4 linked regions of the Elephas maximus indicus genome follow. Each later gene encodes a partner of the first gene's protein in a complex. Links are inferred from orthologs where the notes say so. Each region holds a gene or a part of one and is shown in the gene's direction. Other genes may lie near its edges.

Region 1 (7,656 bases):
CAAATCTATCTGAAAATTAAAATGTTACTAGTATCACTGCAATGTAAACTGACAGTGATGGCTAGAGTAGATTCGTTTCTCTGGCAAATAATTTAAATTGTTACTCTTGTTTTAAAAATAAACATAATGGCACTTTCATTCATTGAGTAATGCACACAGTGGGCATTTCAATGTTAAATGATGTTAGTGATTTTTTTTTTAATGGAAAATGTACTCCCTAACTCATTTTTCTCTACGTGGCAAAAGTCACATAACATAAAATTCACCATTTTAACCATTTTTAAAGTGTACAATTCAGTGGTATTTAGTATATTTATAATGTCGTGCAACCATCATCTCTATCTAGATCCAGAACACTTTCACACCTCAAAAGGAAAACCTGTACCTATTAAGTAAGGACCCCTGGTGGTGCAGTGGTTAAACATTCAGCTGCTAACTGAGAGGCCGTCAATTCGAACCCACCAGCTGATCTGTGGGAGAACGATGTGGCAGTCTGCTTCCATAAACACTACAGCCTTGGAAAGTGTACGGGGTAGTTCTACTCTGTTCTATAGGGTCACTAAGTCAGAATCAACTCAAGGACGGCTATAAACCTGCTGCTGTTGAGTCGATTCTGACTCATAGTGACCCTACAGGACGGAGTAGAATTGCCCCATAGGGTTTCCAAGGAGCGCCTGGTGGATTCAAACTGCTGACCTTCTGGTTAGCAGCTGTAGCTCTTTTTTTTTTTTTTTTTTTTTTTTTTGTGCTTTAAGTGAAAGTTTACAAATCAAGTCAGTCTCTCACACAAAAACTTATATACACCTTGCTACATACTCCCAATTGCTCTCCTCCTAATGAGACAGCCCGCTCCCTCCCTCTACTCTCTCTTTTTGTGTCCTTTCGTCAGCTTCTAACCTCCTCTACCCTCTCATCTCCCCTTCAGGCAGGAGATGCCAACATAGTCTCAAGTGTCCACCTGATCCAAGAAGCTCACTCCTCACCAGCATCCCTCTCCAACCCATTGCACAGTCCAATCCATGTCTGAAGAGTTGGCTTTGGGAATGATTCCTGCCCTGGGCCAACAGAAGGTCTGGGGGCCATGACCACTGGGGTCCTTCTAGTCTCAGTCAGACCATTAAGTCTGGTCTTTTTATGAGAATTTGGGGTCTGCATCCCACTGCTCTCATGCTCCCTCAGGGGTTCTCTGTTGTGTTCCCTGTCAGGGCAGTCATCAGTTGTAGCCAGGCACCATCTAGCTCTTCTGGTCTCAGGCTGATGTAGCGTCTGGTTTACGTGACCTTTTCTGTCTCTTGGGCTCATAATTACCTTGTGTTCTTGGTGTTCTTCGTTCTCCTTTGATCCAGGTGGGTTGAGACCGATTGATGCATCTTAGATGGCCGCTTGTTAGCGTTTAAGACCCCAGACGCCTCTCTCCAAGGTGGGATGCAGAATGTTTTCTTAATAGATTTTATTATGCCAATTGACTTAGATGTCCCCTGAAACCATGGTCCCCAAACCCCCACCCCTGCTACGCTGGCCTTCAAAGCATTCAGTTTATTCCGGAAACTTCTTTGCTTTTGGTTTAGTCCAGTTGTGCTGACCTCCCTTGTATTGTGTGTTGCCTTTCCCGTCACCTAAAGTAGTTCTTATCTACTATCTAATTAGTGAATACCCCCTCCCGCCCTCCCTCCCTCCCCCTTCTCGTAACCATCGAAGAATATTTTCTTCTCTGTTTAAACTATTTCTTGAGTTCTTATAATAGTGGTCTTATACAGTATTTGTCCTTTTGCAACTAATTTCACTCAGCATAATGCCTTCCAGGTTCCTTCGTGTTATGAAATGTTTCACAAATTCATCACTGTTCTTTATCGATGCGTAGTATTCCATTGTGTGAATATACCATAATTTATTTATCCAGTCATCCATTGATGGGCACCTTGGTTGCTTCCATTTTTTGCTATTGTAAATAGTGCTGCAATGAACATGGGTGTGCATATATCCGTTTGTGTAAAAGCTCTTATTTCTCTAGGATATATTCCAAGGAGTGAGATTGTTGGATCATATAGTAGTTCTATTTCTAGATTTTTAAGGAAGCACCAAATCGATTTCCAAAGTGGTTGTACCATTTTACATTCACACCAGCAGGCAGCCATAGCTCTTAACCACCACACCACCAGGGTTTCCAAGGAAGGCAATGGGTGTACCTCTTAAGCAGTCACTTCCCATCTCCCCTCCTCCCCTCTCCACCCCCTGGCAACCACTAGCCCCCCTTCATTCTCTGTGGATTTTCCTATTCTGGATGTTTCATGTAAGTGGGATCATTCAATATGTGGCCCGTTGTGCCTGGTTTCTTTCACTTAGCATAAGTCTTCAAGGTTCATCTATATTGTAGCATGTGTCAGTACTTCATCCCTTTTTATAGCCAAATAATATTCCATCATACGTCCCTGGGTGACGAAACAGTTAAACAATTAACTACTTGCGAGACCAAAGGTTGGCGGCTGGAACCCACCCAGAGGTGCCTTGGAAGACAGACTTGACAATCTGCTTTTTGAAAGGTCACAACCTTGAAAACTCAATAGAGTGGTGTTCTCCTCTGCATACATGGGGTCACTAGGAGTCAGAGTTGAATTGATGGCAACTAACAACAACAACAACATGTATATTACCACATTTTGTTTATTAGTTCATGAGAATTTGATCGTTTCCAGCTTTTGGTAATAGTGCTGCTACATACATTCATGTACAAGTTTTTGTTTGAATGCCTGCTTTCAATCCTTTGGGGTATACCTATAGGTAGAATTGCTAGATCATATGGTAATCTTGTGTTTAACTTTTTAAGGTACCAATAAACCCCTAGTTCATTTTTATTTTCACAATTACAAGGAGTCTTGATCACTGGACAGTTAGAGGCTGTTGGACAGCTGCAGCTGAGCCTCAGGCTGGGCTCAAAAAGGTCTTTTTTCCAGAACCACTGCTTAGTGCAACCCGGCTCCATTAGAGCCAGGCTTGTTCCAAGGCAAGGCTACAGGTAGGGCTTTGAACAGCTTTCTCTGCTGCTCTGCATGTTGGAACATGAACTGGCTGGGCAGGAATACCCTCCTGCCTTCTAGGCATCCTTGGTTCTCCATTATATAGCACATACTTTTGGAAGGAAAAAAAAAAGATGCCAGCTACCTAACATAGACTTCCCTCCTCCTGTCTTTGCAGCAGAGCTCAGATTAGCACCTGGAGTCCCCATACGATCCATGCTTGGGACAGATGCTATACCCTGCACTGGGCAGAAATTAATCTTTCATGGACTTGCTGAGACTAGAAAGTGATCCTTCACTCAGGGTACAGTTTTACCATTCATGTCGCCTGACAGCACTACCCAGTATTCCGACCCTATCAACCCACAGATACAGGAGTGAGCCCATCCTACTTTGTATATTGTAGATTGTCCACCCCTGGGCTTGGCTGGGCAAAGGAGACAACCCTACTACAGGCATTGTTCACTGCAAACTTTCTGAGTCATGAGGCTGTTCAGTCATTAATCCAACCCGTAACAGTCACTGATTAGCAGTGATTTTTAAATTTGACTGCTTAGGAGCTTCTCCAAGTCCTGACCCCTTGCCCCAATTCCCTGACACACAGGAAGTTTCCACACTACAGGAGCCCACACCAAGGAGCATTAGGTTGCACTGCCCCCAAACAGGCAGATTAAACCGGCTTTTTCCACTTGAAACTGAACACTAAGAATGAAAACGTCGGTTGGGTCCTTGCTACCCGAGTCTCCCTGCCAACCCCGTTGTCACTTGTCAGGCTTGTCTTCCGGGCAGCCCTTTCAGGTGTCCTGCTCTGAATCTGCTGGTAGGGCAGAAAAGTCCCTTGGCTGGTCATATCCTCTGTAATCCCGCGGGAAACCTAAAATGTGCCTGCTCTCGTCCTCGGTGAGTTTGCTTTTCGCTTCCTTGTAGGGAAGAGCCTGCATCACAGTGTCCGGTTTGGGGGATTTTCACCATGACCTCACCCTCTGCCGCTACCATCCCGATTGTAGCGCTGCACAGCATTACGCAGCTCGGGCAGGGATCCACGTTAGGGAGCTGTTAACAGACCCTCCTAGCACATCTCAGATTAATATCAACTCCAGTTCTTTCTCCCCAAAGGGGGATACTTGCAGGGGTCTGAGAATGCCACCAAGAGCTGGAAGGAAGGACGGACGATCTTGACTTAGCATCAAGGGTGCCACCGTAAGAAAATGCACCAAAAACCTTTCAGACTGGCGCCCGTTGTTTGAATCACTTTTGACCCAATGGCTTCGAAATAAGGCGAGGGAACGCTGACAGCAGGCGGCGGCCATGAAACTCGGGAGAAAGGGCGGCCTTTCTCGGGAGAGAGGGAGCCCAAAGGGCAGCGTCTGGGACTCGGCAGCCGGCTCCACGGAGCAGGCCTTAATTAAAAAGAAACAGAAAGTCGCGCTCCGCAGGCGTCCGCCGCGCCCACTGCGTCCCGCCAGGCCCGAGACCACGTGACCGCGGCTCCCGGCCTCCTGGCGCGGGCCCGGCGGCGGCCGCGGACACACCAGCCAGCGAGCGACCGCGTGATTCGCCGGCCCGGGCCCGCCACGAGACTGGGGCTGCGGAGGCCGTGCGCGCGCGCCCCCGGGAGGCGGCAGGCGCGCGCACGCTGCCGGGGCCACCGCCCCTCCCGGGCCCGCCTCCTTCCCTCCCTCCCCGGCTCTCCCGGCCCGCCCTGGCCGGCTCGCCCTGCGAGTCAGTTCGCTCGTTCCCTCCCTCCCCGGGCGCGCTCGGGCCGCCGCAGCGCTCCCCGCCCTTGAGCCGCGGAGCCCGAGCCGCCCGCCGCCCGCGGAGGAGGTGGAGGGAGCCGGAGGGGCCCGCCGAGGCGGCGGCGGCGGCAAGATGGCGGACTTCCTGCCGTCGCGGTCCGTGCTGTCCGTGTGCTTCCCCGGCTGCGTGCTGACGAGCGGCGAGGCCGAGCAGCAGCGCAAGTCCAAGGAGATCGACAAATGCCTGTCCCGGGAGAAGACCTACGTGAAGCGGCTGGTGAAGATCCTGCTGCTGGGCGCGGGCGAGAGCGGCAAGTCCACCTTCCTGAAGCAGATGCGGATCATCCACGGGCAGGACTTCGACCAGCGCGCGCGCGAGGAGTTCCGCCCCACCATCTACAGCAACGTGATCAAAGGTGCTGGGCTCGGCCGGGGGCGAAGGAAGGGCCGGCTCGGCAGGGGCCGGGGGCCCGAGGCCGGGCACCGCCCTCGCGCACTCCGTGCCTCGCGCACGAGCTGGGCGGGCGGCAAGGGGGCGCGCCCCGGGCCCTGGCCCTGCCAGTCCCCGGGCGCCCTCTCCGTCGGCTCAGGGAATGCTCGGTGGGCGCCCAGCTTTCTCCTTGCTGCCCCCTTGGGGGTCACGGCCAGCCCCCACCCCCACCCCATTTCCAGCTCTGGCTCCTCCGAGAGGGAAGTTAGGAGAGCCGGGTGCCTCGGGGTGCGGGTCACCTGGCCTGTGTTCCTCCTTCCAGACGAGGCTGGAAAACCCGAGAGCCGACCCCAGACCCTGCCCCTTTCTCCCCTGCCCCAGAGCTGTCGGCCGAACCTCGCTGCCCCGGGTGGGTGACCCGAGTTGCATGGTTTCCTTGACCGCCTCCTGAGCAAGGGAGTTCTGGAACCGTCGGCAATGAGGAAACTTTTGCCAGAGACTTGTCAAGGGCGAAGGGTGACAGCTTTTGGGACTCTTTTGGGAAAGGATGTGAAACTTGAGGGTGTCGTTTTCACTTTGCTGGCACCAGGAAAGAGGAGACCCATACAGTAACTCTGAAAAATTAGCATCAGTGGTTTTTCACCTCATTGTCACGGTCAGGCAGGATGTTTGCCTGTAGTCTGTGTGCAATATGTTCTGCTCTCCTTTTTGCTAAATAAGGGGTAGGGGATATGGGGGTGTACTGCTTCAGTGCAATTGTGTAATAATATGAAGAATTTTTGGTCTAAAGGTGATGTGAGTCCCGCACAGGTTGAGTCAGTGAGTTAGCATGGGATGGGGTTGGATCATAGACTCCGCTTCTGTTTGACAGTATTTTTTTTTTAATTAATTAAAATGGTAAACGTTGTTCTTAAGTGAGAAGTACACAGGATTTTTATTTCTGAACTTTCAAAGAATTAGAGACGATGGTTTTTATTTTGTGATTGGAATGATAATTAGCATTCCTTTCTGTTAGTTTCCAATATTTTTAGCTTAAAATACTTCAGATGCATCAGGATTCTCTATTTTGTCTGGGTAGCAATTATCTGGTAGTTTGCTACCGATTTCATATCTTGTCAAGCAGTGTTTTTTTCCGTGGGATTTTTGTTCAGGAAGTGCTTAAGAAAGTCTTTCATGTCACTTTTTTTTTTTTTTCCTTTCTCTCCCAGGGTTTGGTAGAGGAAAACTGCTCCAGAGAGGGAGGCAGTGTGGGTTAGGAGCCAGAGAAAAAGCTCAGCCTGGGGTTTACAGACCACAGTGAGCCCTTAGCCCTGGTACCCCTCCAGTTAAGCTGTGAAAAGCAGTTGTATTTACTCTGCCTTAATGGTCAGCAGGAAACCTAATTAAGGTCTCTTTCAAGGCCACTGCCTCTGCCTTGCCAGCCCTTAATTGAAGGTACCTTTGTATCTTGCTGCAGCCGAATTTAAGGAATTATGTTAATGAATAGATTCAACATTTTAACTGATTATGGGCCAGGTAAACAACTGGTTCTTAATGTACACTGCGTCGGAAATGAGACCCGTTTTGAGTATTGATAATGAGATGAGGTCATTAGACATTAGTTTTTTTGTAGGTGTTGGCTTGTTGCAAAAATTGACAGCGGAATAGTTTTTTCAGTTATCCAAATGACCTAAAGGTGTGCGATTGTTAAGACCCTAACAGTTTAGTAATAGAAATACTGGATTTGAACTAACCTCTGAGTTGAAATGCCTGGTTTTGTATCTTTTTGCTGTTGGTCTTCCTACCTTTTAGGGAAATCTAAGGCCATCCTGTAACTTAGATTGATTCGAAGCTTGGTCTAGGAGAAGTTTTTGAGTTTTTAAGGTGTTCCTAGAAGACTCAGGGTTGGGGTTAGGCAGGGTGCCTAGGGGACAAGCAATGCAGAATGGTAACGCCTAGTTCTTGGCATTTGGTAGATGAATGCCTTTTGGACGGACTCCTTTCCTTCAGAGCCTGGACATCAGGCTGTGCAGCATAGTTTCTTTTTCCTTCAGTGGTTTTGGCTGTCTTGTGACCACTTTTTACCCCGGAAGTTATTTTATAAATTAGTACATTTTAAAATCCTTCAGAAGGAGCAAGTGTGTTATCAGTATTTGCTCTCCAAGGTTCTCATTTTAGGAGTGTGAGCAAGAGTTTTTAAAATCTGAGAAGTTAAGGGTGGATGTTTAATGTTGGTCTTCATTTTTGGAGGAGGTGGGCCTGGAGTAGTTAAGAGGTCTAAGAAAGAAATTCTGGTGTTTTCTAAGGAGTAAAACATATAAGAATGTTTAATGACTCCTCCCCATACTTTTTTTTTTTTTTAAACAAAGGCATGAGGGTGCTGGTAGATGCTCGAGAGAAGCTTCACATTCCTTGGGGAGATAATACAAACCAATTCAATGGAGAGAAGATGATGGCATTTGACACACGGTCACCCATGGCGGCCCAGGGAATGGTG
Region 2 (7,513 bases), on another chromosome or scaffold:
ACCGGCAGCCACCCCTTCATCCTGGGGAACTCCTATTCAACCACCACCGCCCAGCCATCTTATCACCTTCTCAGACCCCTAGGTTTCAGAAGCCAGTTTTCTGCCCCTGGGATCAAAGCCCCTTCTCCTCCCCTCCACTTTTGACACCTCCTATCCACGTCAAAGATCTGGGGAAGTGACCCAGCACTACTGAAGAGTCCGTTTCATTGGCTCCCTCCGTGCTCTGTCGCCCCCTGGTGCCCAGCCTCGGACGTGCATGGAAAAATGTGCCTAGAAATTTGTACTGGAAAAGTGCGCGCGATTCTCTGCTTACCCTGCAGGGTCACTCTCAGCCTTTCTCCCCCTACTCTGGGCCCTGGAAAGCTGACCTGTTAGACTCCACCCATCGGCTTTTCTTGCCTTCAGCCATCTGATTAAACCCATTGCCGTCGAGTCAATTCCAGTTCATAGCGACCCTACAGGACAGAGTAGAACTGCCCCCTAGGATTTCCAAGGAGCGGCTGGTAGATTCAAACTGCGGACCTTATGGTTAACAGCCGTAGCACTTACCCACCGTGCCACCAACTGACTGGGTCTGCTAATTAGAGGCAGGGCAGGAAATCTGAGGGTAGGGGAAGAGACGTGGGGTATGTATTTCCCAGTCCTCTTCTGCATTCCTGCACTTCTGGCTTTGGCTTTCTTTCCTCTACCTAGAGCTGCAGCTCCTTCTGGCTCCTCTCCAGAGACTGGTAGCAACACTCCCTTGCCTGTCCTTTCTGCCCTAGGGATGGTAATGGCTTGGTTCTGGCTGTAAATGGGTCCGCTGGCGCCACATCCATACTTTGTGTTTCCTTTTGCCCTGCCCATCCTCCTACAAACGGTGGCTTCATAAGCGCCCCAGGTTCCAACTTTTTCCTGCTGGGACCCTGACTGGTACCAGAATAAACATGGGGTGAGCCCAGGAAAGAAGGGGACCCGAGTCCACCAGTGAGTGCTCAAAATTTCTCTTTGGGAGGAGCTTGGGGTGGCCAGTGGGCCCGTAGCATCATCATTAGGGTGGTATCACCTGGGTGGTGTCACCCCCACCCATGCTAATTACCACATTATTGTAGGTAGAACACCAGAAGGTTTGACAAAATCAGTGACGCTAAAAACACTGGCAGCAACAGAAACAGACACCACACGATCAGAAGCCTCGCTGTAACTGGGTAACAGTGACAGCCCTGACCAGAGCACATTGGAAGGTTCAAAAAGTAAATTAGCATAGAGTTTTAGCCTTGTGGGTGTATTGATACATGTAAGCTGGGCTTACAAAAAATGTTTTTATTGTTATAACTAACTACAGGGATATTTTTATAAAAAATAATAAATTTCTCCTGAGACACTGCACAGAAATTTATGGACAGTCATTTTGGTGTCACCCTCTCTGCGAGCGTTACCCAGTTGCTTCCACACCCCTGGACTCCCCTAGTGATGCCACTCCAATAGGCTGACAACAGGAACGTGTAGGGGGCTTGTCTTGAAGCTGTTAGGACTTATACGGGGTTATTTGAGGGGGCGGGGGGTGGTTAAAGTCCTCATGGCTGGAGCCTTGGTGGCGCAAACAGTTTGTGATTGGCTGCTAACCTAAAGGTTGGTGGTTCAAACCTACCCAGTGGCTCTGTGGAAGAAAGGCTTTCGTAAAAAGTACAGCCAAGAAAACCCAATGGAGCACAGTTCTACTCTGTGACACATGGGTGGTCATGAGTTGGAATTGACTCAAAGGCAATGCATTTAAGGTCCTCATGATGAGACCTCCCGTTGGAGCTGTCCCTGACTGCCCACCTTGAAGAAGGGTTGAAGGAAAAGGCCTTTATTTCTGCCTGTGTTTCAGGCCACTTGGCTAACTCTCTTCTCTCTCTGTTTCCCTCAAGAGTCTTGAGAGAAAGGAGGTAATATGGTTCAGAGTGGAGGTCACTTCTCCAAGGTCACACAGCAAATGATTAAAATAATAGGTACTTAAAAAAAAAAGTTTGATTTCATTTATACGACGTTGTAGAATAGGAAAAACTAATCTCTGGTAAAAAGAGAAAGAAGAAGACCAAAATTTACTAATGGTTACCAGGGGCAGGCAGCAGGGAGGGGAATAGGTAGAGTCATTGCTTAGGAGCCGCTGAGCTTCTGTTGAGGTTGATGGAAACATTAAAAAGGGGTGATTGTCATGCTGAGTAACATGATAAACATAATTAATGTCACCGAATTGTACACGTGAAGAATGTTGAAATAGCGGATATTTTGTTACATATATATTTACTACAATTAAAAAAGAAAGAAGAGAGTTGCCCCTGTGAAGTGTAAATACTGCCTGGAAAGGGGCACAAAACAATTTTCTGGGGGTGATGGAATGTTCTATACCTTGATTTGGATGTCAGTTATACGGGTGTATATGTTTGTCACAACCCATTGTAGTGTTCACGTAAGATCTAGGCATTTTTACTTTTATTTAAAGAAAATTACTAGAAAAGAATCTGTGAACCTAGTAGCTATCATGTAAAAGAAATTTTTTCTTTTGAGGGGAGAAAATATACACAGCAAAACATTACACCAATTCAACAGTTTCTACATGTACAGTTGAGTGATTTTGATTACATTCTTCAAGTTGTGCAGTCATTCTTGATGTCCTTTTCCAACTTATTATTCCACCATTAGTATAAACTCACTGCCCTGCTAAGTTTCTCATCTAGCCTTTCTAGTTGCTGTTGTCAGTTTGATCACTTAGAGATAATTTAAAAGAACACAGTAAAGGCTGACATTCTTTACTAATCATGCTGTTGTTTTGATTAGAGAAGACTTCAGGGGATAGTTTCAGTTTAAGGTTTAAAGGTTATCTCAGAACAGTAGTTTGCAGGGAGGGAGTCATCTAGCCTCAGTGGCTCCAGAAAGTCTGGATTCTATGAAAACCTGAAATTGTGTTCCTCATTGCCCATGCCTTTTTGATCAGGATTCTTCTATAGGATCTTTAATCAAAGCCTTCCTAATAGCTGTCATTTTTTGAGGGCTATATGCTGGGTCTCTCCCAAGTACTTTCATCAATAATAAATTCTTGTGATCAATTTATGAAGGCCATAGTAATAAATCAGAAAAATAAGTGACTATTTTTGGAGCACTTACCTTTCATTTACTCACTCCTTGAAAACTATGTGTATTTCACACCTACTGTGTGCCAAGTGAAGCCATGGTGGTGCAATGGTTAAGAGCTTGGCTGCTAACCAAAAGGTCGGCAGCTCAAATCCACCAGCCACTCCTTGGAAACCCTGTGGGGCAGTTCTACTCTGGCCTATAGGCTTGCTATAAGTTGGAGTTGGCTCCACTGCAACTTTTTTTTGTGTGTGCGCCAAGCAGTCTTCTGGGAAACAGACACAGCAGTGAACCAGTCACGTGCAAAAGCAGAGCTCACATTCTAGTGAAAAAAAAAAGGAGGCGGATAATTAGAGAAAATAAGTGTGATGTAAGGAATGTTAGGTGGCAGCAAGCACTGTGGAGACAAGTAAAGCCAGGAGAAGAAATGGGAAGTGTTGAGGCAGGTGGCATGTTTCACAGACTTGATAGCATTTATGCTGTAAAATGACACCCCCGAGAGAAATGACTATGAGTGACCCCATTTGACAGAAGAGGAAACTGAGGTTCAGAGAGGTGAAGTCACTGTTAAGGGGCAGGGCTTCAGGGCCCATGGACTTGGAAGCCTCAGGGCCACTTGCAGTGGTGGCCATGATGGTGGGGGGTGTGGGCTTAATAAACTCCTTTGTTTTTTCCCTGGAGGGGGGCACGCAACGACCAGAATGACTTAGGCCTGGAGCCTTCGAAGGGAGGAAGTAGCTCAGCCCAAGGAGAGTCACTGGGGACGCTCCTCTCCGCCATAACAAGTTGCCACGCAGTCGGCTCCTATTGTGTCAGAGTAGAGCTGTGCTCCATAGGGTTTTCAATGGTTATTTTTTTTGGAGAAGCTCGCCAGGCCTTTCTTCTGAGCCACCTCCGGATGGACAGAAACCTCCAACCTTTTGGTTAGCGGAGCGCGTTAACCGTTTGTACCACCCAGGGACTCCTCCCTCATAAAACTAAAAAAAAAAAAACAACAAAACACCAAACCCGTTGCCCTGGAGTGGATACCAATTCATAGAGACCCTATAAGACAGAGTAGAACTGCCCCATAGGGTTTCCAAGAAGGGCTCGTGAAATCGAACCGCTGATCTTATGGCTAACAGCTTAACCACTGCGCCACCAGGACTCCGCTTCCCTCATAGCAAAGGCTTAATAAAGTTGGAGGTGTGGGGTTGGAGTGAGGATGAGCAAAACGGTTAATGAGGTGGGAGGGTTCCGGCTAGGGACTTTGAAGGGTTGAGGATTTTCCAGTACAAGAAGCGTTTAGTGAAAGGGGCAGAGGGCGAGCGGCAAAGAAGGGGTTAATGGGGGCGGGTCCAGGTGGGGCGGGGCCTGGGCTGGAGGCTAAAGCCCTAGGGCCTGGAGGAGTCGCCCTCATCCTGCCCCGCGGGGGCGCCCGCCGGGTCCCAGCGCCGCCGGTCCAGAGCTCTTCGCAGCAGGGAGAGGCGCTCCGCCCGCCCCGTCCAGCTGCCGCGCGCAGGTAGGCACTTGGCTGCCCGTCGGCCGTCCGGCCGCAGCCCCCGCCATCTGGCCGTCTGCGGCAGCCCCTCCTGCCGTCCCTCGGAAGCTGCCTCAGTCTCCCGCGCCGTCAGCGTCCCCGATCCTCGCTGGTCTGGCCTCCCAGTCTCTCTCTGTGCCTCGGGTCCCTGGCGGCTGACTGTGTCTCTGCCTCTGTCTCCGGATGTCTCTGCCCATGGTCTCTCTGACGCGGGGTATGTCTCTACTTCTGTATCTCTGCGCGTCTCTGCCTGGGTTATCTCTGCCTCGCCATCCGGATCTGTCTATTTCTTCTCTCTCTCTGTTAGCCTCTCTACCTCTGTCAGTTTCCAACTCTCAACCTCTGTGGATGTCGCTGCTCTGTCTCCGTGTCTCCCTGCCCTCACCCTTCCTCTCTCTCTTTATATTTCTCCATCTCTTTCTCTCTTCCTATTTTAAACTCTCTTCTTCCACCTCCATTCAGCCTTGTCTTCCTCCAAATCCTCTGCATCCCAGAAATTTCCTCCGAGCTGGGGGGCTGCTTATGGGCCAGGTAGGGGGCAAGGTGGTGGCCACTTGGGGCAGGTGAACTCTGAGCAGCACTGTAACACCAGCTCCCCCCTCACAGAGCCACCCCACTGCTCCCCAAGTCGCACTCACCCCACCCTCCAATTTCAGGAATTCCGGGCTAGGGGGTGGACTTCCTCTCCCCCTGTCACCAGCCACTTCCTCCCTTCCAGGATTTGTCTGGGTCACTGGTTAACTCCTTCCTGCCTTGCCCCTCTCCTCTTGAACTGGACACACCCCCAAACCAGGCTGAGGTACGGCTCTAGAATTTCTGTGAAGCAGTGGTTTTGGGGGGACGGGGCCTTGCCCATTGTGTATACATTGGTCCTCGTGTACATTGTTGACACTGATGGAGATGAGGGGGTCATGCCCCCCAACACCCCCTCCCAGGCCCACCACCAGCCCTGCTCCTCCTGAACCCATCAAAAGGGCTTCTCCCTTCCCAGCCTGTCCCTGGGTGAACTTGTCTTCAGGTTTGGCATGGGGATGGGAGGCTTTCTTTTCTGTGAAGGGAACCCCAGTAGGAGACAGGCTGATGTGGGGAAGCTCCTGAACTCTGGGACTCATAAAATCAAGACCTCTTGAATGTGATGTCTTTGAATGGAAGAACCGAGGGATGTGAGAATGAGCAGAGAAAAGAACTGGGAATACACCAAGCTTCAAATCAAAGTCTTAGGGATAATCAAATCCTGCAATCCAAAAAGCTTTGAGGGTTGGAATTTTGGCAGTTTTCAGTGTTTGTTAACAGCTTAGAAAAGACTTGTGGAGCTGTCTTGGCCACACCCTCCATTTTCCAGGTGGGGAAACTGAGGCTTGGAGAACAAAGGTCGCAGCTGTGAGTCTGTGCCAGGCTGGGGCTTGGGACTCCAATTCACAGAAGCCCAAAATCCAGTGATTTGGCTTCTTTTGCCTCCACAGAGTTGGATTAATTTGGCGAAGGAGGTCTTCACAGTGAGGAAGTATGCCAGAATGAGTAGAAATGGCTGGGATCCAGAAGGGAGAGTTTCAGAAGCAGAGAAGAGAAAATAGTTCTCAAAACATGGTGGGGCGGGGAGGGTAGAGGGGGCAAGAGTTGGTTTGGGTAGAAGGCGGGGAGTTCCAGGGAAGGAGGGAAGAGAGGAGGGGAGGTGGCGGGGGCCAGGGGTTAACTCTGGCCTCTGTCTCCTGACCTTCCCCACAAAGCCCACTGCTCCCTCGGGACAGGGCCTATAATTTGGTTTGTGTCTAGACAAATAATAACTCAGCTGGTGTGAGCTGGGAGGGGTGAGGCCAGCCTGCTCGGAAGGGGTAGGGAGACAGCCTGGGCTTCAAATGTGGCCCCTTCCCAAGCATTGAGAACTTGGGGCCAGGTAGAGGGGTCTGACCCTGGGCCCCCCTCTGTGAATCCTTGTTGTTCTTGTTGTGTGTCTACTCATAGGGACCCTATAGAACAGAGTAGAACTGTCCCATAGGGTTTCCAAGGCTGTAATCTTTAAAGGAGCACATCACCAGGTCTTTTCTCCCGTGGAGCAGCTGGTGGGTTTGAACCTCCAACCTTCCCGTTAGCAGCCTAGCTCTAAGCCATTGCACCACCTAGGCTTCTTCTGTGAATCCTTAGGATCTTAAAACTCTGCGCCATCTTAGAAGTTCAGGCTGCTGGAATGTGAAAAAACAGAAGAGGATAAGGGGGAAAAAAGAAGTGAGGTTCACCATGCGTAGAGTGTGTTCCCATTTGTGTCAAAAAGAAAAGAGAAATACGTACCGGTGTTTGCTGGGCAAAGTTAATAATCACTGAGGGTTTAATAATAGATTATGAAAGTCATAGAATGTTAAAAAAAAATTATAGAGCGTTCTAACAATAGAACTTTCAAATCCTGGAATGTGAGACTCCTAGAATATTGGAAACTTAAAAGGGTAAGCGCATAGGATAATAATAATAGAATGGAAGAAAGGTAGAGCGCTAGAACGTTATAATAATAGGATGTCAAACCACGAACTGAACCAACATTAGAACCTGAGGATTTTAGGACAGTAGAATCTAGAACATCGGAGGGGTCGTGGAGAAGGAGGACCCTAGCTAGCTTTCCTTCTGGGTGGTGCGGCCTTGTAGAAAGAACAGAGACTCCCTCTGTAGAAATGGGGAAACTGAGGCCCAGCAGGGCAGTTGGGGGCAGCCCTACTGCCCCCTGGTTTCTGCCAGCTGGCCGCCAGAGCACCAGGTGGGGAATGAGGCAGGCTTGGTGATCACATTTCGTCCCTAATGAGCAGACCCAGACCGGAGCTGGCCGGTCCCCTGGGGCTGCTGGGGAGGGGAGAAGCGGGAGCCTGCAGAGAGGGGGGAAGGGGGGCAGAATCGGCCTGGTGGCTTCAGGGA
Region 3 (7,052 bases), on another chromosome or scaffold:
TGCTGTAAGTCGGAACTGACTCGAGGCGATGGGTTTGGTATCTGTCCCCCAGCTTGCCACTTTTTGAGTGAATACATGCTCCCCTACCCCTTGCATTTCAGGTCCTTTTGAGTTGTGTTTTCTGTTACTTGCAACAGTGTTTCAGAGAGAACTGTGCTCCATAGGGTTTTCATTGGCTGATTTTTCAGAAGCAGATTGCCAGGCCTTTCTTCCAAGACACTTCTGGTTCAAAGTGCCAACCTTTCAGTTAGGAGCTAAGCACTTGGCCGTTTGTGCCACCCAGGGACTCCGCGACAGAAAGCACCCTGCTTGATACAGTTTGGAGGAGTAGTTTTTAGGGAAGCGTATTGTGATAAATTTGTTTTCCGTTATGGTTTAAGTTACAGACCAATAACCAATGAGATAATTGTGGTGAAATTCAAATTTCTCTTCTAAGAATTTCTGTTGAATTCCATTGGTAGAACCTGCAGGAGATTCAGAATTAGAATACTTGTTGGTGTAGGCTTTCCCTGGAATGACCCCCTGGAAAGGCAACTCTATCTTGGATGTTTTTGTGGGGTCTCACAGTTACTCACCGAGACGGTGAGCGAGTATTGACGAACGGCTTGTTTTCTGCAGTGGTTCGGCATGATTTTCTAAAAGGTGCAGAATCACTGGTGTCTTTTTCCCCGCAGTGGATTTCCCATCCAAGGGGGCACAGGGATGTTTGCAGACAAGCTGTTTAATGCTCACGGGATGAAGCTGGTGGAGAAGACAGACGATGATTTAGCCCTTGCTGTCTCTGAAGAGCCCGTCTGTTAGTATCCAGGGCTGCGTGCTCCTCAGCCGCAGGTGGATGAAGAGGAGGGTGGCTGCCGGCAGCTGCCCATGAGCACTGAAGTGGATGAATCCAGAGGCAAAGTAGAAAAGTCGCTCTAGACTGAAAGGCCATCTCTGATGAGCAGTCACGGTGAGTCCACATCAGCGTGTCATACTGTGCCAGGTGGAGACTATTTTCAAGTACACGTAACCCAAACCAGCTTGTGCTGGCCTCGCCACGTGGAGGGACAGGTATGGCCTCTGCGAGATTCCACCAAGGACCCAGCTCCTTCTAACCTTTGGCTCTGCCATACTTCTTATTTTTGTTGTGTGCCGTGGTGTGTGTGCCGTGGAGTTGATTCCAACTCAGTGACCCCACGTAGAACTGTAGAGCTGCCCCATAGGGTTCCCAGTGCTGTCATCTTTATGGAGCACATTGCCGGGTCTTTCTCCCGCATAGCCACCGGGGGGCTTCAAGTTGCCAACCTTTGGGTTAACGGTAGAGCGCTTAACTGTTGTGCCACCAGGGCTTCTTCTGCCGTTCTTAGCCTATGGGATTTTTCTGGCAGGGTTATCAAGGCATAATTCATTTACAGGAAACTTCTCTCTTTGTCCAGTTCTGAGCTTCGACAAAGGCGCACAGCCGTGTGACCACCACGGGAAGAACAGACTTGACCCCCAGAACCTCCCTCGCCACCTTTGCGGTGAACAACTCCATCACCCCAGCCCCTGACCACACCCATCTGTCTTCTGTCTCTGTAGCTTTGTCTTTCCAAGGATGTCCATAGGTGGACTCACATGGTGCGTGGCCTCTTGAATTTGGCTTCTTTCACCGGGGATAATGAATATGGGATTTATGGCGCCGTCTGTATCAGTGGCTTGTCCCTTTCCCAGCCGAGCGGCATTCCATTCTGAGGTTATGTCACAGTTGGTTCGTCCACTCACCAGGTGAAGGACAACGGGTTGTTCCCAGTATTTGGGGACAGTGCATGAACCTGCCGTGAACGTCTGCGTGCAGGTTTCTGGGTGGACGTGGGCTTTTCATTTCTTTGGGTTAAGTCTTTAGAGTGGGGCTGGACACTGAGCCCCCACACTTTCGGGGAGGGGACTTCTGCATGAGGACGTGGCCGCTGTCACGTTGTGCAAGTTAGCGGGCTGCCTGAGAACCATTGCTGTTACGTTGTCGCCCTATGTGGAAGCAATATGCCAGCGTGCCCACAGGGCTTGCTCCTGCTTGCAGACGTGACGGCTCGTTGAAGGGTATGTGGCCGAGGGAGGTGCAGTTGGGGAGGGACTTGAATCAGGCGTTAAGAACTCACTGTCCTTGCAGCTGGTCCAACTCTCCTCAGCATTTGGGCTTCTCTGCAGAACTTCCATTATGTCCCAGCCTGTCCCCCGGGACGTGTGAGCTGCAGGGCACGCGGTAACATACCAACTGTGCACACGCCATCGACTGCGTGAATGAGCCAGCTATGTCCTGGGTTCAGCGGTTTCATACTTTGAGTCATCCCGTAAAAATGGAGAGAATAGAGCCTAACCAGAACGAAGGCCCCACTTTTAGCATTTGATTAGCCTCCACTTCAGTACACAACTGGATAATTTTAAGAAAGCGTAACGATTTTCCATCCCCTAAGTTAAGGACGGAGCCCTGGTGGCACCGTCGTTAAGAGCTATGGCTGCTAACCAAAAGTCTGACAGTTCAAGTCCACCAGCTGCTCCTTGGACACTCGATGGGGCAGTTCTGCTCTGTCCCATTGGGTCGGTATGAGTCAGAACCAACTTGACGGCAACAGATTTTGGTAAGTTAAGGATGGGGCAGTGGTGATTCAGTGGTGCTAATTCCTGCCTTCCGTTCAAAAGACGCTGGAGCCCTGGTGGCGCAGTGATTAAGAGCTCGGCTGCTAACCAAAAGTTCGGTAGTTTGAATCCACCAGCTGCTCCTTGGAAACCCTATGGGGCAGTTCTATGCTGTCCTATAAGGTCCCTATGAGTTGGAATCGACTTGACAGCAATAGGTTTGGTTTGTTTTGGTTATGTGGGAGACCTGGGTTCAATTCCCACCCAATGGACCTCACGCACAGCCACCATCTGTCTGTCAGCGGCGGCTTGCGTGTTGCCGTGACGCTGAACAGGTTTCAGTGGAGCTTCCAGACTAAGACAGACCAGGAAGAAAGGCCTGGAGATCTACTTCTGAAAATCGTCCATTGAAGACCCCGTGGAGCACACTTCTACTCTCACACACGTGGGGTTTCCGTAAGTCGGAGCCAACTCGAGGGCCACTGGTTTCTGGGATCTCACAGACACTAGCAGGGCAGCTTCTGTCACCTGGCTTTGCACCCTTTTTTATCACTGCCATTGAGTTGCTCATTACTTGGTGAACATTTCAGGATTCGTTCAGGCTTGGAAATGGCAGGCGCAGCGCAGATATTCAGGCATGTGTCTAGCTCTTCCTGAGCTAAAACTGACTGAGAGATGTCTATGCCTGGCTGTCCCTTCTCCTGTGTCTTCCGTTTTCTCTCCGAGGGTGGGGTGGTGGCACGTAGAGGTGAAGTCGTCAGTTGGTCCCCCCCCCGAGGTGGGTCGTGCCCAGGTGACAGAAGAAAGGTCACTGTTGCAATTCCCGCAGCACCTGGGGCTCACAGGTCCCTGCTGTGAGGAGGCAGAGACCGGCTCCATCGAAGGGGGGTCACCACTAATCTGGAGTTGGGGGGCTTGCAGCATTAGTTCAGAATAATCCCCTCCCACTTCCACGTCACAGTTTCCCCTTCTGTGGACGCAGGGAGTCATCTTATCCTTGTTAGGAAGTCTGTTGGATCCAGCACTCTTTATTCCCATTTAAAGGCAGGTCAATGGCGCTGGTAATGCTACCTAACATTTACCCAGTGCTCTTTTCTGCTTCATAGTCATGATCACGGCTAACAGTTACTGAGTGATATTTTTTCTTTGTGAAAAGTACCTAACATTTATCGAGTTCTGGGTATTTTCTAGGTGCTGCTCCCAGAGCCTTGTATGTGTCCTCTGACTTCTCCTTACCACCCGGCAGGAGAGGAACCATGACTTGCATTTCACAGCTGAGGAGTTTGAGACACAGAGAGACTAAGGAACCTGCCTGAGGTGGTGGTTGGGTGCGGTAGAGTCACTTCCGATTCGTGGCAACCCCACATGACAGAGTAGAACTGCCCCACAGGGTTTTCTCAGCTGTAATCTTTATGGGAGCAGATCACTTTATGGGAGCAGGTCTTTTTCCCACGGAGCCACTGGAGGGCTCAAATCGTCGACCTGTCGATTAATAGCCGAGTGCTTAACCACTGCGCCACCATGGCTCCTTAGAGACAGGTGGTGGTGGTTGTTGTTGTTGGGTGCCACGGAGCCGATTCCTTCTCATAGCAACTCTATAGGACAGAATAGAACTGCCCCATGGGTTTCCAAGGAGCAGCTGGTGGATTTGAACTGCTGACCTTTTGATTAGCAGCTGAGCTCCTAACCGCTGTGCCATCCGGGCTCCAAAGAGAGGTTACTATCAGGTAAGTCACATGGCAAATGATAGCCGTGATTATAATCTTTTTTTTCTTGGCGTGTGTGTGTACACGTGTATTTGGAGTAGACTGGCAGTCGGGTAAACTGAGGCACAGGCTGGCTAAGTTCTCTTTGTTGTCACATGAGGAGTGCTGTCCTGGGTGCTGTGGAGAGTGTGGAGTTATGAGGTGTGGTGGGATGACGTGGGACAGATAGACCGACCACTCTGACTCACAGTGATCCTATGTACTATGTCACCTTCAGGATTGCCGGCATGTTCAAGTTCACGACTGCAGCGATTGTGTTGATTCATCTCCCCAAGGGTCTCCTTCACCATCACTGACCCTCCATGCCACCAAACATGATGCCCTCCTCCAGAGGTCGATCCCTCCTGATGACCTGTCCAAAGCAAGTGAGTTGGACAATGGTCTGTTGTGATCCCTGAGGTTTTCACTGGCAGATTTTCAGAAGTAGATTGCCAGGCCTTTCTTCCTAGTCTGTCTTAGTTTTGAAGCTCCACTCAAATATAGCATTCATTTAACGCTGAAAGGGTTAAAGAGAAAAATGTGGCCAGCTGATGTGTCCGCTGAGTGGGTGTGGTCACTTAACTTTCTCCGTCCAGATATCACCTATTCCTGCTCTTGGCAAACAGGAATCAGACCTTAACAGAGTTGATGGGGCATTTTACATGCTGCATTTATTAATATTTGTGCTGACTGGGAGGGTGTGGGCTACGCAGGCGTCTGTTAAAAACGCAACGTTCTCTGGTCTGCTTGTGAACCAGTTGTTCTCGCTTCGTGTTAGGGCCTGGGAAGACTGCCCCGCAACGGGGATAAGGAGAGAAGAGAAGAGAGCAAAATTTGAAGACAGCCTTACATCACCGGCCTCTCCCACCCAGAGAGCTGGGCGGCGGTGCAGGCGGGACCCAGACCCAGGCGTTGGTGGGAGTGGACCAGCCCCAGCAGGCGGGGCGCCAGGGCAGAAGGGCTTCCCAGCCTGCTCGTCCCCACACTGAGAAAGCCAGAGCCCGCTCCAGCCCTGCACGGGACAAACGCGGACTCTGGAAGTGAAGGAAGGCTCTGGACGTCCCTCTCTCCGTCTGAGCGCCTTCTCCCTCTGGCACAAGTTGCAGTCACTGTTTGGATGCGTTTCTAGGACAGCACTCGGAGCTAGGCTTCTCCACCGGCATCCCTGCTGCTCTGGTCTCTGTGATGTGTCACTGACCACCCCACAGTCTCAGCCTGGAGACCAGGAGGGGAACACCACCAGCTTGCCAAGACAGCTGTCCTCACAAACTTTAAAGAAACGGACTTTCTGTCTGTCTCTCTCTATTTCTCTGTCTTGGAACCTGTGGAAATGTCCCCTTGCCGAGGACGTGAGTGTTAGTGAAGACATGTCATCACAGCCAGACCTCAGGAATCTCACGTGGCCATCCTAACCTCTGGGTACCATGTGGCGGCCACGGCCACTCTACACCTGGTTGCTGCTGTTTTATTCCACTTCTCAGGTAAGTCCCTGACGTGGCCATTGTTGAAATGGGGCTGGATTTCTGCCAGGAGGTCCCCCAGCTGTGTCTGACGATGTGGTGTTCTGTGTGCAGGTACATGGAGTCGACGCCAGGTCCCGAGACCATCCAGGTAAGAGTTCCCCTCTTGCCCTGCTCATACACGCCCTTCCTGTCTTCGTGGAGGTCCGGGAACGGCCCCTCATTCACCCCAAGTATGCGGCACCTTCTTCGGGCTCCTCTGAGGAGGGCTGGGAATCCCTGGGAGCTGCAAATGGTTCACATACTCAGCTGCTAACTGAAAGGTTGGAGGTTCAAGTCCACCCAGAGGTGCCTTGGAAGACAGCCCTGGAGATCTGCTTCTAAAGGGTCACGGCCATTGCAAACCCCGTGGGGCACAGCCCTACTCTGACACAGATGGGGTCCCCAGGAGTCGGGGTTGACTTGACGGCAACTGGTTGCTCCGAGCTGTGGGGGACACAGTCCGTGGGGCCCCAGCAGCTTCCTGCCCTGGGTCATCGAAGCCTTGTGATTAGGAAGTGTAGTTTCCCCGGGGTGGAACGTGTTCTGTCTCTCAGCCTGCATCCTCCGCGTGTCCACCGAGCCGCCTGGGGGCTTGCGTCCTCCTTGATCGCTCTGGTGCTCTGCCTGCAGGTGTGGCTTCTCCCACTGGAGGCCTCTGTGAACTCCAGCTGCTTCCCGGGGGGAACGTGTGTGGTGGGGAACTGGGCGCGGACAGGCCTGCCGTTCAGCCGTGACTCAGCCTGCAGGGATCGGGGCCCCTGTCAAGGCTCGTGCCCCCAGCCCACCCAAAGGGGGCCCACCTCTAATGGCCAGCCAGGGTCGGGGGCTCTGACCAGCGTGCTGGACCAGTGCTGGCCACAGAGCAGGCCTGAGGAGGGGATGTCCATAGGATGGCAGATGAGGGCCCTGTGAGGAAAGAAGGGTGTAGTCGGACCCGAAGCTTTAGCTTCCAGCTTTAGGGGACTTTCTCTCACGATTGCTGCCTTGGTTTACCCACTGTATCCACATTTTCAAGGAGCAACTTAAATCTCTTGTTGAGAAAGGTATGAATGCTGTCAATTTCCACATGCTCCCTTTCCCTCACCCCAAGCGCTGGGAGGAAGGATGAAGGCGTGCTGCGGGGGGTGGCAACCCTGGGACTTGCATGAAAGTGAGGCCTTGCCCCATGGGGGTGTACCACTAATCCTACCCCTTGGGGCCCATGCTGGCT
Region 4 (7,884 bases), on another chromosome or scaffold:
GGTCATGCAGAGGCTGGACTCAGTGGTGTGGGCATGTCGCCTAGGCTGGCAGCAGGTCATACACATGAGAAAAGCCATTTTTTTTAAGGCCCCAGTTTGGGCATCCTGGTGGCATAGTGTTTAAGAGGTACGGCTGCTAGCTAAGAGATCAGCAATTCGAATCCACCAGGTGCTCCTTGGAAACCGTTTAGGGCAGTTCTACTCTGTCCTGTAGGGTCGCCAAAAGAATCGACTTGACAGCAGCAACTTGAAGTCCCCATTTCATTGGGGTTTTTGGGGTCGGCTCAGGTACTCCTTGTGCGCACCCCTGTCAATACGACTGTCTATAGTCATTTTTGCTCTCACAGAGCCATATCAGCTGGGACTCAGACCCCACCCCTGACCCTGAAGGACAGATGGTTCTCTGTGAGAGCAAAAAGCCTGCGCCCTTTGGCGGGCAGGCTGTGCAGTCTCAGAGTGACAGGACTCACTGAGCTTGCGCCCTAGGCCTGTCCCAACAGGGCCCTGCCAGGCGGGTGGCTTAGAGAGGTGGTGGGGGCACAGAGTTTGGTGAGTCCCCAGAGCCCTGGAGGGGCTATGATGCTGGGGAAGGCGGAGCGTTATACCCCCCAGGGTCATGGAGCACCTGTCAGCCCTGGGTTGTGTGCCTCCCCACCTCTGAGCCCCTCCCTGTGCCAGGTTCCAGGGGGCGGTGAGAGCCAGGACGAGCCCTCCCCGCTGTGCCAGGAGCCACTGTCCAGCTGTGTGCCTCACCGCCACGCCCTGGAGGTGAGCCAGCTGTGCCGTCTGCCTGCGGGCACCTACAGGGTTGTGCCCTCTACCTACCTGCCTGACACAGAGGCGGCCTTCACTGTCACCATAGCGACCAGGATAGACAGGTGGGCCCTGGTGTGGGAGACGGGGCCACCTGCATCTCAGAAAGTCCCCAGCCCGCCCTTCTGGCAGAGCGGCTCCCTGGGCCCGGGCTGATGGGACTCTCTCACAGGCGGTCCCTCCAGAGTCAGGAGAGCCTGGGCCAGTTCCTTCAGGAGGTATGTATGGGCCTGGGTTCGGGAAACTGGCCACCCTGCCTGGCCGTGTGGGGCCTCACCATCTCCTCCCACAGGCCTCCTTCACGGCTGTGATGAAGACCTAATGAGGTGACCGTGTGTCTGCTCGAGTGACTGGGCTGCTACCCACCCTCTGCTAGGCCCAGAACGCCTGTGCACAGTGCCCCCGCCTCGGCACTGCGGGGCCTGTGCCTGACGGTGTGAAGGATGTGCCACCCTGGAGAGCGGTGACGGGCCCCAGGGCCTGGGGAAAGGGAACTTCCACAGCTGCCCAGAAGGCCCTGGGGCTCAGCAGGGCCTGGGGGAGAGGCAAGAGCCTCAGCGCAGAGCCCCCGAGCCCAGACAGGAGCTTCATTGTAACCCCCTGACCGTCTCGTTGACTGGAGAAAGGCCTTACGCCAGACAAGAGCATTTTGAAACAAACCTTGTCTTAATGTTTAAACCAAAACCTGTTGCCATTGAGTCGATTTCGACTCATAACGATCCTATAGGACAGAGTAGAACTGTCCCATAGGGAATCCAAGGTGGATTCAAACTGCCGACCTTTTGGTTAGCAACCGGGCTTTTAACCATTGCGCCACCAGGGGAAGCATTTTTAAGAGGTAATTTTGTAAATAAACAAGTAGACACTGGGCAGTTCACAGGTTGCTCTTGTCTCAGAACAGCTCCAGGGTTGTCAGCTGTCTGTAAGCCAGCTGTGGAGGGACAGCCGGTGGGGATGCTGTCTCAGTGGGAGGTGAGCACAGCTGGGGTAGGCGGATTGGGGAGGAGGGAGTGGAGGTACAGAGGGTCGGAAGCGGACGTGCACCTGCTCTTGAGGGGTGGGGGCCACAGCAGCTGGTGTCCAGGGCGCGTTCGGGGTAGAGGCCTCCTCCAGCTGACCTGGAGTGAGAGGCGAGGGCCAGGACGAGGGGGCGACTGCTCCAGGACAAAGGAGGACAGCCTTGGGTAGGGAGCTGGCAGCTGCGGAGGGGAGAGGCAGAGTCTGCCTAGACTTGGGCTCACGGGCCAGATTCCCTGGAATGTGGAATGGGGTGGGGGTGGGGGTGGGTCAGGAGCCTTCCTTCCTTCCCAGGAGTCCCTGCCTCATCTTCTGAGAGCAGGCATCTGAGGTTCCCCAGGGGCATGAGGGGACAGTGAGGCCAGAAGATCCAAGGGTGCCCTCTGGTCACTGGTGGGGGGTCATTGAGAGTCCCACTTCAATGTTGCCCCTTACTCCCCAGGCTCTTCAGGGGTGGGCTGGGTGGAGGGTCTGCACGGCCTTAGACCTGTACATCTGCTGACCCCTGGTTGCCATGTGGCTCCTGACATCGGTGTCCCCATTGGCCTGTGACCACTGCCCCCACCCGCCTGATTCCTGACCCAGCCTGCCCCCCCCAGCCCACGTGTGCCCCCCGCTGGGCAGGGCGCTGGGTGTCTCTATCAGGGTCCCCCCCCAGTTCATCATTAGTCCCACCAGCTGACCTGGAGGAGGCCCTTCCTGTGGACAGACTCCTGCCCACTCTCCCTGGCCCCTGGCTTCCACTGACTTGGGCAGGGTGGCCATGCCTGCCCATTGGAGCCAGGGCCTCAGGGCACTTGGAAGCAGGCCAGAGCCCTCAGCCAGTCCATGCCCCCGGGAGCAGGGGAGTCCTGCGTGGGGCCTGTGGCCATGTCTGCCAAGGGGCCAACACCTGGGAAGGCAGCAGCTTCAGGACACAGTGCGGGGCAGCCTGCTGCAGAGCTGGGCAAACACCCCAGCAGTGTGCAGTCATGGTTAGAGACAGAGGAGGGGGGTCCTGAGGGCCCTGTGCTGTCTACAGCGGGGAGTGGGCCACATCCATACACTTTCAGGCTCAGAAACATCCCAGGAGTCTGGGAGTGAAGTCTTCAGGGGCCCTGCCCAGCATCCCCCTCCCCATCCAGGTCCCAGCTCTCAGCCCAGCAGGCCAGCACTGGCCACGGTTCAGATGCTGGGGCTGAGGCTCTGGCGTGGTCTTTGCTTTCTCCACCCTGCAGCCCAAGTGCCCCCACCAAGATTCAGCCCCCCATCTCTGACTGCCCCGCCCCTCCACACAGGGTGACTGGGGGCCCCTTCAGATGGGCCGAGGAAGTAAAATGAAGAGAAGAGAGCTTCCTTGTAAGCAGTGCAGGCCTCCCCTACTGTTCTCGCTGACCACAGAGCACTGGATGCCCCTTTGGAGTTCCTCTTGTCTGTGCATCTCAAACCCCACCCTGGGGACCCCTGCATCCATTGGGTCCACAGAGCACCCACCCCCACCTGGGGAATGGGCCAGCTGTCTCCCCTGCCCCAGCCATGGCCCTCCTGGCCAGCCAGCCGGGCGGTCATAGATCCAGCTCTAAAACAGCCCTGATGCTCTTTGGCCCCAGCAGATTCTGAAGAGCTCCCCCACCATCCCTGCAGATGGATGCATATTAGGGTGGGGGAGCAGGTGGGATCACCCAGGGAGAAGTATGAGGGCCTTAGGCCTTGGCCAGGGCTGGGTACTCAGAGCAGATGTGGCCTGTCCCAGTCCCACATGGGACTGAGGCAGCTGCCCAGAGGGGTCACAGTGACAGATGGAGGAGGGAGGGCGGAGGCTGTGCTGACCACCCCACCTGCCCTTCCCTGGGTGGCTCCAGTGGGCACTTGCTATCCATGCTTCGGCCACGCGGGGTGTCCGTCTGCGCTATACCTATGGTCACCGTGTGGGTGCTCAGGCTGAAAGCCTGGTGAGGGCCGCAGCCTCGGCCTGACCCCTTTGTGGGTGCACTAGGGCGTACCTGGAGGGCTGCAGGGAGGGGAGGGGGTGGGCAGGCCTGGGGCACGAGCAGTCTGTGCCGTGGGGCCTCTGCACTGACCTGAGGAGCTCTCTCTCCAGGTCTGCTTGTGGGCAGGGAGGCCAGGGGAAGGCCATGGAAATGGGCTTCCTCCACTGCCCGCCCCAACCACCAGCTGCCAGGCCACCAGGGAGCCTCCAGAGGGTGCCCTCGAGCTGCGGGCCGGCTCGTCCTGGGCCTCCTCGGGCCCTCCATTCTCTGTACATCAGTCAGTCCATCAATCGATCAATCAGTCTGGCTTTCCCCCACCCCTGGTATTGCTGGCAGGGTGAAAGCAGGAAAGCCCAGCCCACATGTGGACCTGCACAGGCTGTGAGGGTGAGGACCACCACCCTGCCCTCAGGTGGCCTGAGACTCAGGCAGATCCAGCCTGGCAGGTCTAGGTGTATGCTGTAGACACCACTTCTGGCCTCTCCCAACAGACTTTGCCCCACACCGGCCTGTTTAGGTTTTCTGACCTGTCACTTCCTGCTCCAGGAATGACGGGTGTGTGCCTCCTGGTTGGGAACACTTTCCTGGTCCCCAGTTCTCTTCTCACTGCCCTCATCCCTTCCTCCTCCAGGCCTTGGGGTACAGACGCTGGGGTAAGTATCCCGACCCGTGTGCCCTGAAAGCAGGTGTCAGGGAGGGGGCCTGGCCAGGGAGGGGGCCTGGCTGGGCAGGACTTCCTGGGGCAGGAGGCTGGACAGAGTAGAGTGGGTAAGAGGCGGCCAGCCAGGTAGGGTCACGCTGCTCTGTCAGGGGCTAGCCCTGTGTCCCCTGTGGGTTCCTGGGGCATTGTGTGTGTTGGGGAGGTGTGACGATGGCACCTGTGGCAGCACATGTGTGTGCTTCTGTGTTCCAGTTGCCGTGGACTCCTTCATCCTCCAAGCCCCACTGAGAAGACCAACCAGGATCCACAGATCACTTCCCGCCACCCCAAGCCCCACCGTCCTACCATTCTGAAGACATTCAAAAGCGTATGTGGGGTGGCAGTCCCAGTGCCAGGTGCTGGGGATGCGGCTGAGACACCCAGCGCCCCTGTGCTTGTGGCACGCACCGTCTGTTAGGGAGGACCACCCAAACACAGGTACTTTGGAGAATTTTGACCTGAGGGGACAGCTCTGCATATGGTGGTAGTGGTGGGGGTGTTCCTTGACCAGGCTAGGATCAACCAGGTGCGGAGGAGGGGCTGGGAGGGTGTTCCTGGGCACCCCTCACCCTCAGGAGCGGGAAGAAGCTCTGTGTCTGCACTGTGGGGGAGGGGTCAGAGCACGTGGCCAGGGCTGAGGCTGGAGAGGCAGACAGGGACCTTGAGGGCCGTGCAAGGAGTTTGCATCTTACCTCTTGGGGAGCGGGAGCCACGGCATGATTTGAAGTTGGGCCTGACATGTATTTTTGAAATCTCTCTGGCTGAAGTATTGAAGATGAATTGGGGGTAGGGGACGAACAAGAAGGCCGTTGCAGACACCCAGGGGAGAGATGGTGTGTTCTGTCCCAGGCAGGAGGGAGTGGAGGCCAAGAGAGGAAGTCAGTGTTGACCTGTGCTTGGGAGGCAAACCCAGCAGAACTTGATGAGTGATGCTTGGTTGGATTGATCATATAGCAGATAGTAGGAGAACTGACTCTTCCAGTCCATGGACGTGGTATACCTTTCCACCGATTTACGTCTTCTTTAGCTTCTGTCAGCAATAATCCGTAGTTTTGAGTATACATGTTTGCAATTATTCCTAAATACTCTATTTTTTTATGCTGTTATAAATGGCATTGTATTTTTAGTTTCATTTTCTAATTGTTTGTTGCTAATATATACAATTTTTTTGCATATTAACCTTATGTCTTATCATCTTGCCAAATTCACTTATTAGTTTGTAGTTTTTTTTTTTTTTTTTTAATCCCATAGGATTTTCTACACATAGACAATTATGTCAACAATGGAGAGATTTACTTCTTCATTTCCTATCTGAATGCATGTTTTCTTCTTCTTGCCTTATTTTCAGTGGCTAGGAGCTCCAATACCATTTTGAAAGTGGACATCCTTTCCTTGTTGCTTAGCATTTGGGGAACATGTTGGGTCTTTCACCATTAAGTCTCCTTCTATTCCTAGCTTGCTGATAGTTTCTTGTCGTAAATGGGTATTGAGTTTTGTCAAATGATTTTTCTGCATCTGTTAATAGGATTATGTAAATATTCTCCTTTTTTCTATTCAATGAATTACATTGATTGAATGTTAAAATAAACCTTACGTTCCTGGGGCAAGTCCTACTTGTATGCAGTCTGTTGTTTGTTTTATATATTGCTGAATTTGATTTGCTAATATTTTACTAAGGATTTTGTGTCTATGTTCATGCCAGATATTGGTCGGTAGTTTTCTTTTCTTGTAACATCTTTTTCCGGTTTTGGAATGAGGGGTTGAGCTTGCCTCTTAAAATAAGTTGAGAAGTGTTCCTCTTTCTTTGTTTTCTGGAAGTGTTTAAGATTGATAGTATTTTTTCCTTTAATGTTTGATAGAATTCACCTGTACCATCATCTGGAAAAAGGGTTTTCGTGGTGAAAAGGTTTTAAATTATTAATTCAACAACTTTAATAAACACAAGGGTATTCAAATTTGCTATTTCTTTTTGTTGTGACTTTCAAGAAATTTGTCCATTTCATCTACATTGACAGATGGATTTGCATATGGTTATTGATAATGTTTCCTTGTTCTTCTAATGTCTGTAGGGTCTGAAGTGATGTCTCCTCTTTTATTCCTTGTATTAGTAATTTGTGTGTGTTTTCCCCTTGATCAGTCTAGCTAGGAGTTGATCGATTTTATTGATGTTTTCAGAGAACCAACTTTCATTTTGTAGATTTTCTATTGTTTGTTTTTTCTATTATATTATGTTTCCACTCTTTCTTATTTTCTTTCTTCTACTTACTTGGGTTTAATTTTTTCCCTAGATTCCTAAGATGGAATCTCAGATCAATGATTTTAGACCTTCTTCTTTTCTAATGTAAGTACTTAAAGCTACGCACCTTCCACTAAGCACTGCATTAGCTTTATCTCACAAATATTGATAAGTTTTGTTCTCATTATTGTTCTTTTCTAAATATTTTATAATTTTCCTTTGATTACTTATTTGTCCACTGAGTTATTTTTATGTGTGTTCTTGTTCTTTAATTCACAAATATTTGGAACATGGGCATTCTTTAGATATCGTGTCTCTTTCGATACTGATTTCTAGTTTAGTTCTGCTGTGTTTCGACAACAAGCTCTGTGTGATTTAAATCCGTTTAATTTGTTAGCACTGATTTCACGGCCCATTTTGGGGAACGTTCGTATGTACAGTTGCAAAGAATGCGCATTCCGATGTTGTTGAGCGGGACGTTCTGTAAATACCAGTTTGGACAAGTTGGCTGATGCTGTTCAAGTCTGCCGTGTAGCATTGATAATGTTTGGTTTATTTGTTCTGTTACTGAGAGAGGCATGTTGAAATATGCCATTATGATTGTGCTTTTGTCTATTTATCCTTCCAGTTCTATCAGTTTTGCTTCATTTATTTTGAATCTCTGTAACTAGTTGCAAACACGTTTAGAGCTGCTATCTATTTTTGATGTCGTGATTCTTTAATCATTATGAAATGTTTCTATTTATCTCTTAAAATATTTCTTATCCTGAAGTTTACTTTAATAATAATATACATATTCAGCTTTCTTCTGATTAGTGGTTTCAATTTCTGTTTTCGTTCTTTTACTTTTGTCTTATCTTTATAGCTAAAGTGTGTACATTTAGACAGCATATTGTTGCTTCTTGCATTTATAATGCAACTTGAAAATCTTTGCCTTTTAATTGGGGTGCTTAAACCACTTACCTTTAATGTAATTATTGATATGGTTGGTGTCTTAGTCATCTAGTGCTGCTATAACAGAAATACCACAAGCGGATGGTTTTAACAAAGAGAAATTTATTTTCTCACACTCTAGTAGGCTAGAAGTCCAAATTCAGGGCGTCAGCTCCAGGGGAAGGCTTTCTTTCTCTGTCAGCTCTGGACGAAGG

The links.
Region 2: the proteins of GNA13 (region 1) and GPR4 are in contact, whole or in part, in a cryo-EM structure (PDB 9JHP), measured with the Homo sapiens proteins. The link is inferred for Elephas maximus indicus from reciprocal best matches to the Homo sapiens genes GNA13 and GPR4. Residues at the interface, in NP_006563.2 of Homo sapiens: Arg47, Pro341, Tyr343, Phe359, Lys363, Asp364, Ile366, Leu367, His368, Asn370, Leu371, Lys372, Gln373, Leu374, Met375, Leu376, Gln377; in NP_005273.1 of Homo sapiens: Gln45, Asn50, Arg115, Ala118, Val119, Ala120, Pro122, Leu123, Ala126, Ile204, Val208, Ser211, Val212, Ser213, Thr214, Glu218, Lys221, Ile222, Leu225, Asn290, Glu291, Gly292, Ala293.
Region 3: the proteins of GNA13 (region 1) and ADGRD1 are in contact, whole or in part, in a cryo-EM structure (PDB 9V0U), measured with the Homo sapiens proteins. The link is inferred for Elephas maximus indicus from reciprocal best matches to the Homo sapiens genes GNA13 and ADGRD1. Residues at the interface, in NP_006563.2 of Homo sapiens: Val49, Val216, Phe218, Phe359, Val362, Lys363, Asp364, Ile366, Leu367, His368, Asn370, Leu371, Gln373, Leu374, Met375; in NP_942122.2 of Homo sapiens: Asn599, Arg601, Leu657, Met660, Val661, Ile662, Val664, Phe665, Ser667, Val737, Ile738, Ile741, Ala761, Val764, Asn810.
Region 4: the proteins of GNA13 (region 1) and G-protein coupled receptor 35-like are in contact, whole or in part, in a cryo-EM structure (PDB 8H8J), measured with the Homo sapiens proteins. The link is inferred for Elephas maximus indicus from reciprocal best matches to the Homo sapiens genes GNA13 and GPR35. Residues at the interface, in NP_006563.2 of Homo sapiens: Lys46, Arg47, Leu48, Val49, Lys214, Asn215, Val216, Phe218, Arg331, Gln337, Gln338, Lys340, Pro341, Leu342, Tyr343, Phe359, Arg360, Asp361, Lys363, Asp364, Ile366, Leu367, His368, Asn370, Leu371, Lys372, Gln373, Leu374, Met375, Leu376; in NP_005292.2 of Homo sapiens: Phe45, Gln51, Thr53, Thr55, Met59, Asp113, Arg114, Ala117, Val118, Pro121, Leu122, Arg123, Arg125, Arg128, Ala197, Leu198, Arg201, Pro202, Thr204, Asp205, Gly207, Gln208, Ala211, Ala215, Met218, Val219, Ala280, Lys281, Glu282.

The regions. Positions count from the first base shown.
Region 1 is NC_064837.1:58,617,126-58,624,781, forward strand, and holds the start of GNA13 (guanine nucleotide-binding protein subunit alpha-13), read left to right. Parts: upstream 1-4,656; 5' UTR 4,657-4,883; coding exon 4,884-5,166; intron 5,167-7,528; coding exon 7,529-7,656. UniProt on the Homo sapiens protein: Guanine nucleotide-binding proteins (G proteins) are involved as modulators or transducers in various transmembrane signaling systems.
Region 2 is NC_064829.1:104,041,329-104,048,841, forward strand, and holds the start of GPR4 (G-protein coupled receptor 4), read left to right. Parts: upstream 1-4,509; 5' UTR 4,510-4,597; intron 4,598-7,513. UniProt on the Homo sapiens protein: Proton-sensing G-protein coupled receptor activated by extracellular pH, which is required to monitor pH changes and generate adaptive reactions. Activated by an optimal pH of 6.8-7.2.
Region 3 is NC_064840.1:1,404,036-1,411,087, reverse strand, and holds the start of ADGRD1 (adhesion G-protein coupled receptor D1), read left to right. Parts: upstream 1-4,040; 5' UTR 4,041-4,322; intron 4,323-4,578; 5' UTR 4,579-4,726; intron 4,727-5,118; 5' UTR 5,119-5,764; coding exon 5,765-5,821; intron 5,822-5,914; coding exon 5,915-5,951; intron 5,952-7,052. UniProt on the Homo sapiens protein: Adhesion G-protein coupled receptor (aGPCR) for androgen hormone 5alpha-dihydrotestosterone (5alpha-DHT), also named 17beta-hydroxy-5alpha-androstan-3-one, the most potent hormone among androgens. Also activated by methenolone drug.
Region 4 is NC_064824.1:142,573,852-142,581,735, forward strand, and holds the start of G-protein coupled receptor 35-like, read left to right. Parts: upstream 1-4,879; 5' UTR 4,880-4,938; intron 4,939-7,884. Other genes in the region: CAPN10 (calpain-10), read left to right, coding at 679-969. UniProt on the Homo sapiens protein: G-protein coupled receptor that binds to several ligands including the tryptophan metabolite kynurenic acid (KYNA), lysophosphatidic acid (LPA) or 5-hydroxyindoleacetic acid (5-HIAA) with high affinity, leading to rapid and transient activation of numerous intracellular signaling pathways.